Linked DNA regions of Macaca mulatta. The protein of the gene in region 1 interacts with the protein of each later gene in a biochemical or structural test. Links are inferred from orthologs where the notes say so. Each region holds a gene or a part of one and is shown on either strand. Other genes may lie near its edges. The genes, in order: PTGES3 and HSF1.

The links.
Region 2: the proteins of PTGES3 (region 1) and HSF1 form a complex in vitro, tested with the Homo sapiens proteins (2 studies listed by BioGRID). The link is inferred for Macaca mulatta from reciprocal best matches to the Homo sapiens genes PTGES3 and HSF1.

The regions. Positions count from the first base shown.
Region 1 is NC_133416.1:63,842,831-63,846,635, reverse strand, and holds part of PTGES3 (prostaglandin E synthase 3), read left to right. Parts: intron 1-1,115; coding exon 1,116-1,214; intron 1,215-2,623; coding exon 2,624-2,713; intron 2,714-3,805. UniProt on the Homo sapiens protein: Cytosolic prostaglandin synthase that catalyzes the oxidoreduction of prostaglandin endoperoxide H2 (PGH2) to prostaglandin E2 (PGE2).
Region 2 is NC_133413.1:154,684,190-154,688,642, reverse strand, and holds the start of HSF1 (heat shock factor protein 1), read right to left. Parts: upstream 3,096-4,453; 5' UTR 3,081-3,095; coding exon 2,847-3,080; intron 1,749-2,846; exon of another isoform or gene 1-1,748. Other genes in the region: ribosome biogenesis protein BOP1, read left to right, coding at 3,841-3,939. UniProt on the Homo sapiens protein: Functions as a stress-inducible and DNA-binding transcription factor that plays a central role in the transcriptional activation of the heat shock response (HSR), leading to the expression of a large class of molecular chaperones, heat shock proteins (HSPs), that protect cells from cellular insult damage.

The DNA.
Region 1 (3,805 bases):
CCGGCTAGTTTTTTTGTATTTTTTAGTAGAGACGGGGTTTCACCGTGTTAGCCAGGATGGTCTCGATCTCCTGACCTTGTGATCCGCCCGTCTCGGCCTCCTAAAGTGCTGGGATTACAGGCTTGAGCCACCGCTCCGGCCGTTTGTTTTGTTTTTTGTTTGTTTTTGTTTTTTGAGACTACTGCAGTGCAATGGTGCAATCCTGGCTCACTGTAACCTCTGCCTCCTAGGTTCAAGGGATTTTCCTGCCTCAGCCTCTGGAGCAGCTGGGATTACAGGCCCATGCCACCACACCTGGCTAATTTTTGTGTTTTTAGTAAAGACCATGTTGGTTAGGCTAGTCTCAAACTCCTGACCTCAGGTGTTCGCCTGCCTCGGCCTCCCAAAGTGCTAGGATTACAGGCATGAGCCACCGCCCGTGGCCAAGGCTTCCTTTATCTGAGAATAGAATCTTTTTTTTTTTTTTTTTTGAGACGGAGTCTCGCTCTGTCGCCCAGGCTGGAGTGCAGTGGCCGGATCTCAGCTCACTGCAAGCTCTGCCTCCCGGGTTCACGCCATTGTCCTGCCGCAGCCTCCCAAGTAGCTGGGACTACAGGCGCCTGCTACCTTGCCTGGCTAGTTTTTTGTATTTTTCAGTAGAGACGGGGTTTTACCGTGTTAGCCAGGATGGTCTCGATCTGCTGACCTCGTGATCCGCCCGTCTCGGCCTCCCAAAGTGCTGGGATTACAGGCTTGAGCCACCATGCTGGCCCAAGAACAGAATATTTAAACCATTCTGTGGCTATATCATTTTTAGTTAAAGTTTTTAAGGTTTTATTCTGTTTACCATGTGCAGGAAAGAAAAAAATGGTATCAGGTTAAACGTGAAACTTTGTTGTAGTACAGGTTATTTCAGTAGGAAATATAAGGGAAAAAATAAAATTTTTAAAAAATGACAGTTATAGTGGTTTGGGGCAATTGGATAATTTGAAGTTTTTAGTAGTCAAGGGCATGTTTCTTTCAGAGTCCAGAGAAAATTTAGGTAAAGAAATGAAAAAGGTGAGAAATGACAAGCTACTTTCTGTCATGTAGCGATACTGGAAAGATAAATGGTATGATGGTCCTTTTGTTTTTAGGATTCCAAGCATAAAAGAACGGACAGATCAATTTTATGCTGTTTACGAAAAGGAGAATCTGGCCAGTCATGGCCAAGGTTAACAAAAGAAAGGGCAAAGGTAGGTTTCGTTTTCCTTTTTTGAAAAGTTTGATGTTTTTATTGTAGGTAATAAAAGATACACTTATTTGATGTAAGGAATATACTGCTGTGTTTTTGTTTCACAGCTAAGTATAAAGCCTCATGTTCATGTTTTTTGTCTACTCAGTTTTAACTTAATACGAAGTGTGATTAGAATATCAGTTATTAACTGGTGTAGAATCTTTTGCACTTAAGAGATAGACTTTGCATAAATTACTCAGCTATCAAATGGGAGGGGACAAAGCTTGGTGAAAAAGTAAATTAATCAACTGAAAATAGTTCTTACTAGTAAATTTGTTTTCAAAAGGTGTGTTTAACAATTTTCAGTGTTTTTTTTTTCAAAACCAGGGTCTCTCTTTGTTACCCAGGCTGGAGTGCAGTGACACGATCTCGGCTCACTGCAGCCTCAGCTTCCCAGGCTCCAAGTGATCCTCCCCGCTCTGTCCCCCAAGTAGCTTGGACTGCAGGGGCATGCCATGACACCTGGCTCATTTTTGTATTTTTTGTAGAGAAGGGGTATCACAATCTTGCTCAGATTGCTCTTGAACTTCTAGGCTCAAGCAATCTCCCCACCTCAGCTTCCCAAAGTGCTGGTACTATAGGCATGAGCCACCACACTTACCTAATTTTTTTTTTTTTTTTTTTAAGATAGTCTCATGCCACTCATGCGAGAGTGCAGTGGTGTGAACATGGCTCACTGCAGCCTCCACCTGGGCTTAAGCGATCCTCCCACCCACCTCAGCTTCCCAAATAGCTAGGATTATAGGAATGTGCCACCACGCCCAGGAACTTTGTTTTTTTGTTTTTTCCCCAGATACAGGATACACTATTGCTCAGGCTGTCTCGAACTCCTGAAGGATTACACAACCAATCTTTCCACCGTGGCCGCCCAAAGTGTTGGGGTTACAGGTGTAAGCCACCCCATTTAGCTTAGTCTATTCTTTGTGTGCTAATTACATGCCCTCATAAAAATACAAAGTCGCAGTTCAAAAAATGTTGTTTTGCCAGGGACCAGTAGCCATGTGGTGCCTGTTGTAGTTAAAAGCGACGCTGGAGGGTGAAGTGGGAGAATTACTTGCGCCCAATTCTGGGTTGCAATGCCATATGTCAGTCAGGTAACCATGCTAAGTTAACATCAGTATGGTGGTGTCCCAGGAAGCGGGGACCACCAGGTTGCTTGAAGAGTTAACAAGACCCTTGATCAGAAATGGAGCTGATCAAAACTCACATTGATCAATAATGGGATTGCACCTGTGAATGCTTGCTGCACTCCAGCCTGGACAACACAGCAAGACTTGGTCTCTTTAGAAGAAAAGAAAATGCAGTCTTAAGGTTCATGCCAAATGCAAATTAACCTAACCTTAGGGTGATGTTTGTATTGATTTATAGCTTAATTGGCTTAGTGTCGACTTCAATAATTGGAAAGACTGGGAAGATGATTCAGATGAAGACATGTCTAATTTTGATCGTTTTTCTGAGGTAAGTTCCATTAAATGGATGTCTCCCCACTCGAAGTACACAGTACCTGTCTGTAGTCAATTTAATTTGGTTTTGGGCACATATTCATGATGCGTGTTATTTTTAAGACCATTTTAATGATTTTAAAAGGAATCAGTGTTAACTGCAAAAGTTAATGTATTAAGACTAACACAGCTAGTTTGCTAATTTCCTAATTTCATCATTGGGATTTTTTTTTTTTTTTTTTTTTTTTTAAAGCATGATTGCAGTAGTTGACTTGGATTTTGAAGCCATAAAATAAAACTATAAACTTTTGCCGGGCGCGGTGGCTCAAGCCTGTAATCCCAGCACTTTGGGAGGCCGAGACGGGCGGATCACGAGGTCAGGAGATCGAGACCATCCTGGCTAATATGGTGAAACCCCGTCTCTACTAAAAATACAAAAAACTAGCTGGGCGAGGTGGTGGGCGCCTGTAGTCCCAGCTACTCTGGAGGCTGAGGCAGGAGAATGGCGTAAACTCGGGAGGCGGAGCTTGCAGTGAGCTGAGATCCGACCACTGCACTCCAGCCTGGGCGACAAAGCGAGACTCCGTCTCAAAAAAAAAAAAAAACTTTTGACCAGGCGCTTTGGGAGGAGGCCAGCACTTTGGGAGGCCAAGGCTGGCGGATCACGAGGTCAGGAGATCCAGACCATACTGGCCAACATGGTGAAACCCCGTCTCTACTAAAATACAAAAAAAATAAGCTGGGCGTGGTGGCGTGTCCCTGTGGTCCCACCTACTCCTGAGGCTGAGGCATGGGAATTGCTTGAACCCTGGAGGCAGAGGTTGCAGTGAGCTGAGATCGTGCCACTGGACTCCAGTCTGGCGAAAGAGCGGGACTTGGTCTAAAAAATATGACTATAAACTTTTAAACACAAGAATCATAGGCTGGGTGCGGTGGCTTATGCCTGTAATCCCAGCACTTTGGGAAGCTGAGGCGGGCGAATCACGAGGTCAGGAGTTCCAGACCAGCCTGACCAACATGGCAAAACCTCCCCTCTACTAAAAATACAAAAATTAGCTGGGTGTGGTGGCGTGCGCCTGTAATGCCAGCTACTCAGAAGGCTGAGGCA
Region 2 (4,453 bases), on another chromosome or scaffold:
CCAGCAAGGCCCTAGAAGAGCCTCCGCTGGTGGACAGAGGAGCTGCTGCATGCAGAGGAGGAAGCTGGGCTGAGGGCTGGCACCAGGGCACGGGGCAGGGAGGCTGCGGGTCCCTGGTCTCACGGGTCTCAGTTCTATGGAGCTGCCTGTCAGTCCAGGTATTCAGTCCCCCAACCCCGTCTTTGGGTCTCAGTGGTACTGGATCCAGGCACACCTTTGGGATAAGCTGTTAAAAAGCTGGCTGAGGGAGGACCACCCACGTCCATGCCCATGCTCCTATGTGGATCTCCCGGGATCATAACCTTGTGGCTGACACGTTTCCTCTCCAAGGCAGATGGGGCTGTGCTGTCCTCCACGACTTGCTGGGTCCCCTCAAGGCCTCTGCCTGTGTGGGTGGGGTGCTCATGGGAATGAGGGTCTGGGGGGTGGGAAATCGAACACCACAGGGATGGGGCCATAGTCCCCACCAAATGGGCTCTCCTGGACAGTGACCCGGCATTCTGCCTCCAGTGGCTGCAGTGGGAGTCCCGATCTCAGGCCAGGGAGGGGAAGTGCAATGGTTGTCCAGAGCTGGTCCCATTCCTGGCCAGGCTCAGTAAAGTCACTGGCCAGTTTCTGGGCCTCAGTCTCCCCCAAGTTATTCAGCCTGGAGAATTAGTCACCATGCCTGTGATTCTGCCTCATCTTCTTGTGTCAAACAGGGAGGGTTTTTCTTGGCAGAATGGTGGTAAGACTTTGAGCCAGGAGACTGTCCCAGAGAAGGCAGCAGAGAGCAAGAGCACCAGGGCCTTCTCAAGGCCTCCGAGAGCCAGCTGGGCCTGGGCAGTAGATTTGTGGGAGGGTCCCCTGTTGGGACTCTGCCGACATGGAGTCCTCAGGGCTTGTGTGAGTGCTCTCAAAGCCACAGGATGGGACGATCACCTCCTTTCTCCAGGCCACGCAGCCAGCGCCAGAAAGCTCTGCAGCTCCCTGCACAGTCTGGAGAAGGGCTTCCTTCCAGTTTGAAGTCAGTGTTTCTATCTCATTGCCATGCTCGCCCCCACTGCTACATCCTGCACCAACCATTGCCACTTTATACTGACCAGGTGGAACCAAACACTGACATTCCACACGGCTCCCCATCCCTCCCCAGGGAGAACAGGCCCACAGGTGGTGCACCTGTGAGGAGAGTGGAGGCTGGCCACAGGCCTCATCAAATCTGCCTCCCTTGCTCAAAAGCCCTGCCCAGAACATGCCTCGGTCTCAAAAAAGAGTACACTGGGACCTAACCCACATGCCTCATAATCTTTTAAGCAGAAACAGCAAGCAGATTATGGGACAGGACAGATCATGCTAGTAGGATTAAGCTTAGAATATCCCAGATAATCTCAGATGCCCCTCCCCCAATGGGGCAAGAGAGTACTTCTGAGGGTTAAGGGGAATAAGAAAAAGAAGGAAGGGCTGGGTGCAGTGGCTCACACCTGTAATCCCAGCACTTAGGGAGGCCAAGGCAGGTGGATAACTTGAGGTCAGGAGTTCCAGACCAGGCTGGCTGATGTGGTGAAACCCCGTCTCTACTAAAAATACAACAATCAGCCAGGTGTGGTGGCGTGCATCTGTAGTCCTGGCTACTCGGGAGGCTGAGGCAGGAGAATTGCTTGAACCTGGGAGGTGGAGGTCGTAGTGAGACAAGATCGCACCACTGCACTCCAACCTGGGTGACAGAGCGAGAAGCCGTCTCAAAAAAAAAAAAAAAAAAAAAAAAAGAAAGAAAGAAAACGAAAGACGGATAAAAGAAAACAGAAACATGGGAATACTTCCTCTGCACAAAAATGCCAAGGTCTAGAATGAAGAGATGGTGAAATGAAGTCAGCCTGCAGGAAGGCGCACTGCGCCGTAATGGGACTTGGGGATGGGAAGGCCGACACAGACAGAGGTGTCAGCAGGACAAATACAAAGTGTTTCTGAAAAGAGCAAAGATTTCCAGTCCTCTCTTTATTCCCAAACACTCTGTAGGTAAAGCAGGGCCTCAGTAAACCCGAGAAGCAGAAGGCCTGGCCTCCTGCCTGGAGCAGCTTCAGTTCAGACTTTTCTTCATTCCTAACAGCAGAAAGAGGCTGTGCAAATGGGAGGCCCTCAGCAGAGCCTGAGGAACTCTGGGGTCTTAGCTCCTGGGAGGCCACACATGCTTGGTGGCATCCCGCCTGTCACGGTCCCTCCAAAAGCTCCCAGTGATCAGTGGCCTTTCTTTTTTCTTTTTTTTCTTAAGACAGGGTCTCATTCTTTGCCAGGCTGGAGTGCAGTGGTGGAATCTCGGTTCAGTGCAACCTCTGCCTCCCAGGTTCAGGGGATCCTCCTATCTCAGCCTCCCAAGTAGCTAGGACCACAGGCAAGCACCACCACGCCCGGCTAATTTTTTGTATTTTTAGTAGAGTCGGGGTTTTGCCATATTGTCTTGGCTGGTCTCGAACTCCTGGCCTCAAGTGATCTACCCGCCGCCACCTCCCAAAGTGCTGCTTTCACAGCAAAGAGTCACCCCGCTCGGCCAGTGTGGCCTTTCTTCAGGCCATCACTTGCCAGCCACAGGCTGTGGCTCTGCCCCTCACCGGACACGACGTCACAGCCGGGATGTGAACAGCAGATTTTGATCTCCAACTCCAGACAATCACTGATTTACTTCTGCAAACCGGAGCTGTCCGGTCTTGCAGGGTCGGACCGTGTAAACAAGCCTGCTGCCAGGCAACTGAAGATAAAGACACGAGTAAAGACGCCCCACAAGGAATGAAAAACAAAACTCCTCCTGGGAAACCCAGATTTGGGATTCGGAAACGGGCTTGAGATTAACCTGAAGCTTCATGACGTCTTACTTTCTGTTTCCACTGCCTTTCCTTTTCCACTACAGCGACGCCCTCCGCTTCACGTGCCAAGTCCTGACTTTCTCCGAATAGTTGCCGACCCAGCACCCCGTAGGCCGTCCCCCGGGGACGCCGATGTCCTCTGGAGCACAGCGTCCGCTGGCGAAGCCGGGTGCTTGCCCTAAGCGCGGACACTTCCGCAACCGCCCAACAGTTAGCAGAAGCCCGATGCAAGGGACGCCCCATTCTCCCATCCCAGGGAAACTTCGCTGGGGCAGCGGTTCAATCGGGTGTGGGTCTCGCAGCCGCTTTCCCAACTTAAGGCTCTGCGTTTGGGCAGGCTCGGGACCCGCCGCCCTTCCTGGCGGGGGCAGGGCAGGCTCCCCGCGCGTAAGCCGAGGTGTGGCAGGGCCCCTCCCCGCAGCCCTCCCGCGCCGTCCACCGCGGCCCTGCTCCCTCCCGGTCCCCACGGGCCCCGCGCCCGCGCGCTGCCCTCACCGGGCTCCAGCAGATGAGCGCGTCGGTGTCCGGGTCGCTCACGAGGGTCCACAGCTTGGTCAGGAAGGCCGGGACGTTGCTGGGCCCCGCCGCACCGGGGCCCACGGGCAGATCCATCTCGGGCAAGGCGGGAATAGGCGGAGGGAGCGGCCGCGAAGAGGGGCCGAGGGCCGGGCTAACGCCGTTGCCGCGCCAGCCGTCCGGGCCGAGCCGCCGCCCGCTGCGCACACACAGCCCCAAGGCCCAGCATGGCCGCCGCCATCTTGCAACGGGCGCGCTCCCGCCGCTGCCGCCGCCGCTGCCGCCCTCTCGCGTCCCCCCCCGGCGCGAGCACGCAGGCCCCGACCCCGCCCCGGCCCCCGGCCCCGCCGCGCGCCTGCGCGTGTTGGTCCCGCCCCCCCCCCGCCCGCCAATCGGGGCCGGGCTGGGCGGGGCGCGTCCTCCTGCGCACGCGGCCGTGTCACTGCCGGAAGCGGCTGTTCGGGTCGCGGCCGGCGCGCGGCGGGACATGGCGGGTTCGCGGGGCACGGGGCGCACGGCGGCGCCAAGCGTGCGGCCGGAGAAGCGGCGGTCGGAGCCCGAACTGGAGCCTGAGCCCGAGCCAGAGGTGACTGCGGCAATGCGGGGCGGCGAGGCGCGTCCCTAGAAGGCCCAGCGGGCACGTGGCCGCGCTGGGGCGGGTGGGCCCGGCTGCTGTCACCTGGGCGCCCGTGCCCAGTGAATCGGCCTTGGGCGTGGGCGCAGCTCCTCTATCGGGGGGTCTTAGGCAGAGCAGACTGCAGGGTGAAGGACGGCGTCCGGGAAGCAAAGAAACGGGGGTGCAGGGAGTGGGGATAAGCGCCCCTTGCAGCAGCCTCTCCGGCCGTTCCATTTGTGCGTCCTGCCAGTAAAAGGGCTCGGCTTGCGCCCCCAGTAAATGCTTAACCTACTTATGCGCTAGTTAATCACGTTTTTATGCTCATGGGATAGACGTGAGAATAAGAAAACCTGAATAGAACCCAGAGTCTGCTGCGTTTGTTGTATCAGAACTCACTGTTGCCCTCTGCCAGCTCAGCCCCGTCTTGGTTGTGGGGATCGTCAAATTGGGTGGTGGAGGGAATGGACAGCCAGCCTCTCACAGC